Linked DNA regions of Drosophila melanogaster. The protein of the gene in region 1 interacts with the protein of each later gene in a pairwise test. Each region holds a gene or a part of one and is shown in the gene's direction. Other genes may lie near its edges.

Region 1 (3,984 bases):
TCCGAACGTCTCCTGGTGCACTTTTTCAAGAGCATTCTTGGAGGGATTGTACTCGAGGATCACGATGCGTCCCGAGTCCGAGCCCACAACTATGTAATCTGCAAAGCAAGGTAACGATATTCGAGATTAGGGTCATACATTTAACACTTTCTAATGACTATAATGATATTTTATTGACTTTGTAACTCGAAGTTTCAATTCGCCACTCCGTTGAGTTGGTTTATGGCAAATGCGACGTCAAGTCTTTCGGTTTCTCTCGCACTTAGACGCGTTCAAAGGTCTTACTGGGGTCAACTAGCCGTCTGTTGCCTCAATAGGGATTTGTGCGACTTACATAGATTATATAGGAGCAATACATTACTCCCAATTGATGGTACAAAACTAAATTACAATTGAAAGACTCACCTTTAGTGCCGCCCGTCAGTCGAAAGGCCATCAGGGCGCGAACGCATCCGAATATCTCCGTGGAGAGCAGGGTGTGCACCTTGCCGGTGTTGGAGTCCGGACGCAGTAGCTCCAGCGACTTGCCACGCGACAGGAGGACCTCCTGCTGCTTGCCGCCGGAGAAGTTGCCGTGGACCGCGTGGGTCACGCCGGTGGCCTTCTGCAGGGTCAGGTTGTACAGATACATGGTGGAGCACTACACTCTTTCACTTTTGTCCACGACTGCAAGAGAAGCAATGTTGAGGTTAGGTACAGTTGCAGACAAGGGAAAAAGTCACGTGAATGGCGGTGTATTTTTTTTTTTGTGAATTTGTACTACTTTGAAAACCATGGCCACAGTATGGAAAGTCGTGTCGCCTAACGATGCTAGTAAGCAGCATTTAATTCTTAGTTTAGCACGCTTCAAATGCGACCAAAGCACAGACATTTCTGATTTCTGGAGATACTTCGTGCGGAAAGCGCTTAAATAATAGTAGATATCAGTGCTAGCACGTGTATTTGTTTACCTTCGGCTGGTTAAATGGATGAATTAGCACATTTCACCAGCGATGCCTTTGGATTCGAATTTTCCTGATTACTCAGAACTCTTCATTTTCACATCTGCTCTGTTCGCCGACAAAAAGTAAAAGAACTATAAAAGTAAAAATGGTGGTGCATAAAATGTGGCTTGACTTATCGATAGTGCGCGGCCGTCGATTTTCCTATCGATAATAGGCCCGGTTCAGACTGATTATAAATTAAATAATTATTTTACTGGAAATTGTTGCTGCAGAAATCATAAGTTTCCTAAAAATCCTGGTCAAGATATATCGAATTTATCCTTTATTAAATATACCACATTTAAATATTCGGAAATTGCCATGGGCCAATCCCAGTTCCACATACCAAAAACTGCCTCAAAAGCTAAACATATAATATGCAATTTTCTGTGAAAAAATGGAAAATTTCAAGGATCTGTAAAAATATGTACTGGATCAATCGTTTTATCTTTCTTTAACTTAAAAAATTTTTATCATGGGCTTAAATGAAAACAAAACCACTCACCGAATTGTGGCTAAAGGGCTGGGCTCAATACTATGCTATTAAGGTATGATTAAGGAGAAAACTTTAAAGGTATTTAAAAAAAATAAATAGATCAGTCCCCAACTATTTTTTTCTGTTTATTCGATCTCTACTTGAGTATATTTTTACGCGGCGTTGGCTCATGTTATTAGACTAATTAGAAAAATCATCAATTATTACTTAGTAAACTAGGTTTGTTGACTATCGATATACCAACTTCAGATTCGCGACATCTCTAATCAGTCATGGAATTGTCAGTGTTGTAAAACCTGAAATGTCATTGCATCTTTGCTTCTTCAAAACAGCTGACAGCTAAAAACAAATATTTCGTGATTTTTGTAAATATTGCTAACGTTTTAATATGGAGGAGCAAGAGGATCGAGAAAAGCTCTACGAAGAAGCCCACAAGAAAGTAAAACTGGGCGAGGAGCTGAAGAAAGCGCTGAAAGACTTCGAAGATTTGCCTGGTGTCAGCAAAGTACAGCGAAAAATTCAGCAAGAGCTCAAATTTCTAAATAAGGTTTGTTTGCCTATTTTTCATGATAAAAACATTGAGTAAAAGCATTTTCCTTCAAGGTGATTACTACAAGGTCCGTAAAGGAACACCACATAACCAGCAGTAACTTTGTTTACTACGATTTTCTCATTAAAACTCTGCGTTTGCAACAAGGAGTAGTCGACATCAATGCCGTATTCCGCCTGGAGTCTAGGGATAGTCCCCTGAGAGTCGACATCGTGGCCAACAATGGACTCAAGTGGGTGAAGGTGATAGCCAGGAACTCGAAGTCCGTCGAGGACGCGGCCAGGGGATGTGTCAGCATCGGAGCCCGAAGTGTCATCGACCAGGCGGAGGATTATCTGGAGGCCAGCGAACTTAGTTTCTGCATGTTCCAGAGGCCGAAGGTAATGCCTAATAGTATGCTACCCTAGACAGCATTCATCATCTGATATACTGCCTTTTAGATAGTATTCTACTTCTCCAACAAAATCGAGGACTCCCTGCATGAAGAGCTAATGGAAATGGGCGTACAAACTGCTTCCCTGGACTCACCAGACACCGACTTGGATATGTACGCCACGACGTCGAACGAACTGAATCTAGATGTGACCACATTGCTGGCCTACGTTAGTGCGCTCACCAACGGATCCGCCAATTGGGTCTACAAGGAACCTCTGCTCACCGAACAGGCGGAAAGGGAAAGAGCCTCGCCGCTAAAACCGCTCCTCGAGAAAATCCTAGAGGGAAAAACCTTGGTCTGCTGCCAGTTAGCCTACGATGCCTTCCAGAGTATTTTGGATATTGTAGGCGGCGAGGGCGAACGGAAGCGAGCCGAGGAACTGATGAAACGGGTCACCGTTTATCCGGATGTGGAAACAATACCCGAAGAATTCTCCCACATACGTTTCACTGCCAACGTAAACGAGCGAAGTCTGAAAATCTTTAGTTTCGGCATGGCCAGGCAAATTTTCACTGTGACTTCGAATAAGGCCTTTGTGAGATCAGCTAAGATGCAGGTATGCATGAATGGAAAATGTGATTTTGTCCTGTCTTTAATGTCTGTGCTTTACAGGGTATCAATGTGCCTGTTTTTGTACACGCTTCAGTTGCACTTACCGAAGGTAAGCAGGCAACAGGAAGACCGCTTTAAAAACCAATAAGCGTTAAGGCTATTCAAATAAATTTTATGTGATTTTTTTTCAAAAACTGCTCTACACAAAGTTGTTATAATTATTAAATAAAGATCCTTCAAATTTGAATTCGATTGGTTTTTAAAAATTCGAAACGATACATACGACTCTTATCGATTGTTGTCATGACAGAGCTGCCACACCTCGCGCATAAAACATATGTAAACAAAAGTGAAATTTTGGAAACTGCGTTCTTGCAAAAAAATAGACGACATTTTGCTTGCATAAAACAGGCAATATTGCAATTGGGAATATAATTATTAAAATTTAGGTGCCTGGCAATTTCAACGTTACAAGAGCAATCATATAATTTCAAATCAGGACGGGAAAACAGTCAAAAACATGGACTGCGCACCACTGAACTTGGTAAGAACCCGAAGAAAACATCGAATTTACATGGTTTTAAATGGAATTACCTACCCAAATCAAAGGCTCATTTCCACGAGCGAAGGTCGGAGCGATTTATACGCAATCACCGCTATGAGGAGGCCATTAAAGCGCTGGAAACATCCCTAATCTACATGCAGGATGCCCAAAAACGGGTGGCTCTGCCCAAATCCAAGGAAGTTCTGGACACATTGACCCTCGATTTTCAGCGCAAACTGCGTCAAATTGAGATGCGAAAGACGCAGCATGGTCTGAACAAGCTGAAGGATTATGCTCCCTTGAAGGAAACCAGTCCCATGCTGCCCCTGCGACCAGAAGCCGGAGCAAGTGGAGGCGCAGGAGGATCCGCTCAGTCGGTGGCCAAGGCAATCGACAAAACAGTGCAGGACTTCGATGCCAAGT
Region 2 (4,884 bases), on another chromosome or scaffold:
CGAAAATCCATGAATGTCTGATGCTTGAAGATAACTTCTATTTTACCCAATGACAGTCATTTCGGTTTTTTTTCTTTTCTTATAAATACAATGTAAAATAATATCATAATGCAATGGTATATGCGATGGTTTACTATTCGATACGAAAAATGTATGCTTAATTGTGAGTTAGTCTCGCAGCTCTATAGCTTATGAGATTTCAAAAAATACATTTCTGGTTTTAAGTTATATTCTGGGAATTGTTTGTGGTATATGTATGTGTGTATGTATGCATGTATGTATATATATAATGGATAGCTGCTGGATATTCCTTTTATTCGGAGGGGGTGAGATCGTTTTCAGGTTCGTTTTCGTTGAGAATTTGAGAAAGCAGATCGTAGAGTGGTTCTAATATCTTTTTCGCTCCAGCATTGGTTAGATTTTTATAGTCGAACATATCGTGATGACTGATACTGCCGTCGGTCTGGACCAAACCCTTGTCAATGGCCACCGTCTGGACGCGATACAAGCCCTTGGTCAATCCATTGACCACCTCGTTGATTTTGGCATTCTTTTCGCGCAACTTATTGGGCTGCTGGCCACGCGGCAGTAGCGACTGCAAGGGAGAGATGGGAATGTCGATGATTTACTGCGGCTGGCTAATACCACAACTATTGTACTTACGGGCAAAACGATATAGGCGTTGGGCAGCTTTTGCCGGATTTTCGTTACGTTCGCGAGCACACCCTCGGCCACTTCCTCCGCGCTGTTCCGCACATTATTGGTGCCCACATGGAGGACGACGATTTTGGGATTCACATTGTCCAGCGCACCGTTTTCGATGCGCCACAGTACGTGCTCGGTGCAGTCGTCGCGAATGCTGAAGTTAAGGCAGTGCAGCGGCGCAAAGTACTTATTCCAGGCCTCCGTGTCCTGGACGGTCTCGAAGATGCAGTCGCCGAGGAATATCACATCCGGATCCTTTTCGCGGCAATCGGAGATGAACCGGCGATGTATGCTGTGCCAACGCTTGTCGCCATCCAGATCGGGCAATGGGGTGGGCAGCACACAGGGATTCATTTCGTCGGCGTGCTCAGACTCAGTTGCAGACCAATATTGAGTTTTAGTTAAAGATTCCGATTCCTATTCCTATTTCGATTTCGATTCAGTTGCAGTTTCAGCATGCGGATGAATGAGGCATCGTCTGCGGCTTAGTCTTACCGGATACTTGGGCGTTCTGCTCGGCTTGCAGTGACAGCGTTGCAGTCGTGGACAAACAATTGAACTGATAGTCGCTAGCATAAACAACTCCGTACCGTTGTTTACTTTAATAAATCGTTTTTATGGCGAAGATTTTTTTTTTGTTTTTTTTTTTTTGTGTTTTAGGTTACCTCAACATTAACATCCGTAAATGTCGTAGAATTATGTGGCCACCCTCGTGTACATGGAAATTGCCAAGGATTTAAGGTTGAAAATTTTTATAAGTTTATTTTAATTTGGTGTAGAAAATCTACGATTTTCTTGGTAAGCGTTTATGTTTTCGTTTTTAGAGAGATGGTAGATGTCTTGGTATTTTTCCAGGGCTGGAAAGTGTTGTCTAGCAATGTTGCACTTGGCACAGCTGAAAAAGATGTGGGATACGTTATCGAAAACGTTACACGGTCACATATGTTACTGTTTGTAACGTGCATTTTATTCAAAATTGTCAAAAGCGTTATCGCAGAGAAGTCTGTTAATTATTTTGATCTCTGTTGATTTAAGTTTACAATTGTGATTTTTAAGGCATGTGCCTTTAAGCCATATGCCATTATTTCAAGGGGAAAATATACCAAATGAAACAAGACTATTTTTTAGCTTTTTCTAGACAGCTTAAAAAATATTACGATGATTTATAACTGATTTCAGAAATAAAAAGATTTGAAACATAAGCAAGTTAAATTTTGTACCCCTACACGTTAAATAGTAAAGGACTATGATTCATTATGAATTATTATTGAACTGCATAAATAGAAATTATACCATTACTTTCACTGGCATCGCAAAACTTTCCGTCGCTACCTTGGCGCAACCTATTCTGAATCCAGCGTGCGGTCACACTGCAGCAATGACATAACCTAGTTATTGTCAAAAAACTGAAGTCAATTCTATTCCTTCGAAAACATAAATCGTAACTTGCGTTAGGTTCGACGGCATGTTGAAGCTTAACCGTGTTCGCCATCTGCGAACGACGTACAAGCGCTGTTTGTCCGGCCAGTCGCAGCTGCAGCTGAATAGTACGGACGCAGAGCCGGCATATCCGGAGATTCAGGATCTGTCCTTCAAGGCGCGCAAGCAGAAGGATGCGGCCAACTGGCACGAGGAAATCCGGCAGGTGCCGACGGTGGAGGAGAAGATGATCAAGATCAATATGCCCCGCTATTACGGCTTCAAGGTGGTCGACTTCAACGACTCGAAAATCCCCTACAATGCACTGCCGCTCACGCAACATTATACGCGCACAGTGCTCGAGGATTTGCCATCTGAAACGGATAAGAAGGCACAGGCTAAGGACTCCGAGCAGGAGCAGGAGCAGCCGAGCGTGGATGGTCTTTTCAAGGCGGCTCGCGGGGATGTTATTGATGCCCTCGAGTTTGCCCACGACTACTACAAGTGGGTACAACGAGGTCCGCTTTCAACGAACCAAGTTCTCCGGCGAGTTTGTGGACAGTAGTTGGTCCAACTCACTTAAGAACTCGGATTGGTTGGAGTGGTCCCAGTTACAAGTTCGACCGTCTGATATTAATGTATTCATTCTCCTCCATTACCAAGCGTAGGCATCTGGAAAAGCAACACAACTCTGCCGAATCGAACCCCGTTGAACGTGAGCGCATCCTAACGCAGATCATTGTAGAACAGCTGAACAGAGCTCTGCTGCAGTCGCTCAGCGAGGAGTACAAGCACCTGGATGAGCTCGATGTCGACTACAATCCACGCCACGAAGCGTTCTGGGCCGTTGGCGGCGTAGATCCTCCCAAGAACGTGCAGAAATCGAAGAAGGGCCGGGAATGGCAAAAGGATATGGCAAACGAGAGCGTTGATCGGATGGTTCAGTATACGGGAGCGCCGTATCTTGCCCTACGCCATCGCAAGCAATTGACGCCGTGGAAAACGGAAGCGGAAAGCGAAAACCTCGAGCTGAGCAAACAGCTGCCCCGTTTCAAGCACGACCCGCGAACCCTCGGCTACAGCACCAAGCATCAGCACGCCACCAATGTGCCAGGCTATTGGCCCAAAGGAAATGAGAATAACTTCGGCCTGCTCTCATTTCAATCGCGTGCACACCTGCAGATCCGTCCGAAATCGTTCGGCGAGCAGGATCAGCTGGAGGCATTGCATTCGCTGGCGATTAAATCGTCATACGCCTGGCTTTTGGCCCAGGCGAACTACAATGGCTTCAACACCTACAACGAACTGACCTATCCCATGAACACTCAAACTGTGATCACGAACGGCAGGGAATGGAGCTTTTATGAGTATCAGCTTAATACGCTGCTGCTGCACGGCACAAACGTGGCGGAAAATCCCCGTGTCAACTTCTGTCGCGGTACAAAGCCACTTCCACTGTACGCCGAGATTTCGGCAAGCGGCAAGTGCGTTGATTTCAACGATAACGCACTGCGGCACCTGCTCAATTTCTATGCCAATGCGCCATCGATTCAGCGGAGCATTGGGGAGCAGCAGCCGTATGTTGCCTCCGACGTTTCCGCCTATGAGAACGCCGAACAGCGTGACTTTATCAATAAGACCTTCAAATATTTGGCATCAAACCGACCGCGACACTTGGAGCTGCCCGAAATCTACCTGTGGGAGAAGCTATACAAGATCGATAACAACAATCGTGCCATGGAGGCTAAGAGACGCTTCTTCGAGCTGGACATCAATCCTTGGCAGCGAACGCTGGACACACATGACAAGGAGTATGTTCCACGTGCGGTCCGACCAGACGTCCCTAAGAATAAGAACAGGTTCAAGAAGACGTACTACCCTTAAATGAATAAATATAAAACACTTCCTAAGGTTACACTTGTTAAAAATGCTGAATTTTTAATGTGAAATACTGGATTGCAGATTCGGAGCAACGAAACGGTGTACAAAGTTTCTTTAAACTTTGATTAACTCAATTTTCCGCAAACTTTTGTCAGTATGTTAATGATTTTTAATATAAATATTTTGTTAAATTTCAATTTAAATTCTATGCCATACAAAGTATATATATTTATTAACTTTGTTATGCTTGTGGTTAAACACTTCTGTAAATTTATAAGCTAGTCTTTTTTATCTTAAATTCTTTCAAATAGATATGATTATACAAATACCTGGAATTTTGCCAATTATTAGTGCTGATGATGCTAAAACTTGCCAATGCAATGCTTCTTATCATTATTTAATTGTTTATGCAGCACATATTTATTCTAGATTCCATTGTTTATTTCATTTATCAGCACTGCAAACATACCGAAGTTATCTCAAAAAGTGGGTAAAATGCGGTTACACTGCACCAGAACCATATTTTTCGAACGTAAAAAAGGTTTATAATGCTATAGTGTAGTTTAAATCTTTTTACCAAATCATATATTGTTTGAACATAATAGTGCACTAAGGTTTATATGATATTCCATATAAGTACACTTCAAACTCTTACTTAGTCTGGTAATATGTATGCATTAATTAATTACTTGATTATTTTATTATCCCATTTATTATAGTAGTTTTACATTTACGATAATAGCTTTATAGTCCACTACATCAAAGTTAGGATTGCTGAAAAAGTTACCACTTGTTGGTTATTTCGGTAACGTCCCAGCTAACCGTATGGTATGTTATAACGGCCGTGCGACGGTCACACTGGATCTGAATAGTTAGGCT

Evidence for each region.
Region 2: the proteins of CG42553 (region 1) and mRpS30 interact in a two-hybrid assay, tested with the Drosophila melanogaster proteins (one large-scale study listed by BioGRID).

The regions. Positions count from the first base shown.
Region 1 is NT_037436.4:832,310-836,293, forward strand, and holds CG42553 (uncharacterized protein), read left to right. Parts: upstream 1-1,783; 5' UTR 1,784-1,867; coding exon 1,868-2,026; intron 2,027-2,082; coding exon 2,083-2,409; intron 2,410-2,469; coding exon 2,470-3,021; intron 3,022-3,077; coding exon 3,078-3,155; 3' UTR 3,156-3,206; downstream 3,207-3,984. Other genes in the region: Sf3b3 (splicing factor 3b subunit 3), read right to left, coding at 1-98, 406-631; CG42554 (uncharacterized protein), read left to right, coding at 3,538-3,561, 3,627-3,984.
Region 2 is NC_004354.4:15,784,002-15,788,885, forward strand, and holds mRpS30 (mitochondrial ribosomal protein S30), read left to right. Parts: upstream 1-2,045; 5' UTR 2,046-2,170; coding exon 2,171-2,628; intron 2,629-2,792; coding exon 2,793-4,008; 3' UTR 4,009-4,287; downstream 4,288-4,884. Other genes in the region: Paf-AHalpha (Platelet-activating factor acetylhydrolase alpha), read right to left, coding at 314-595, 664-1,059.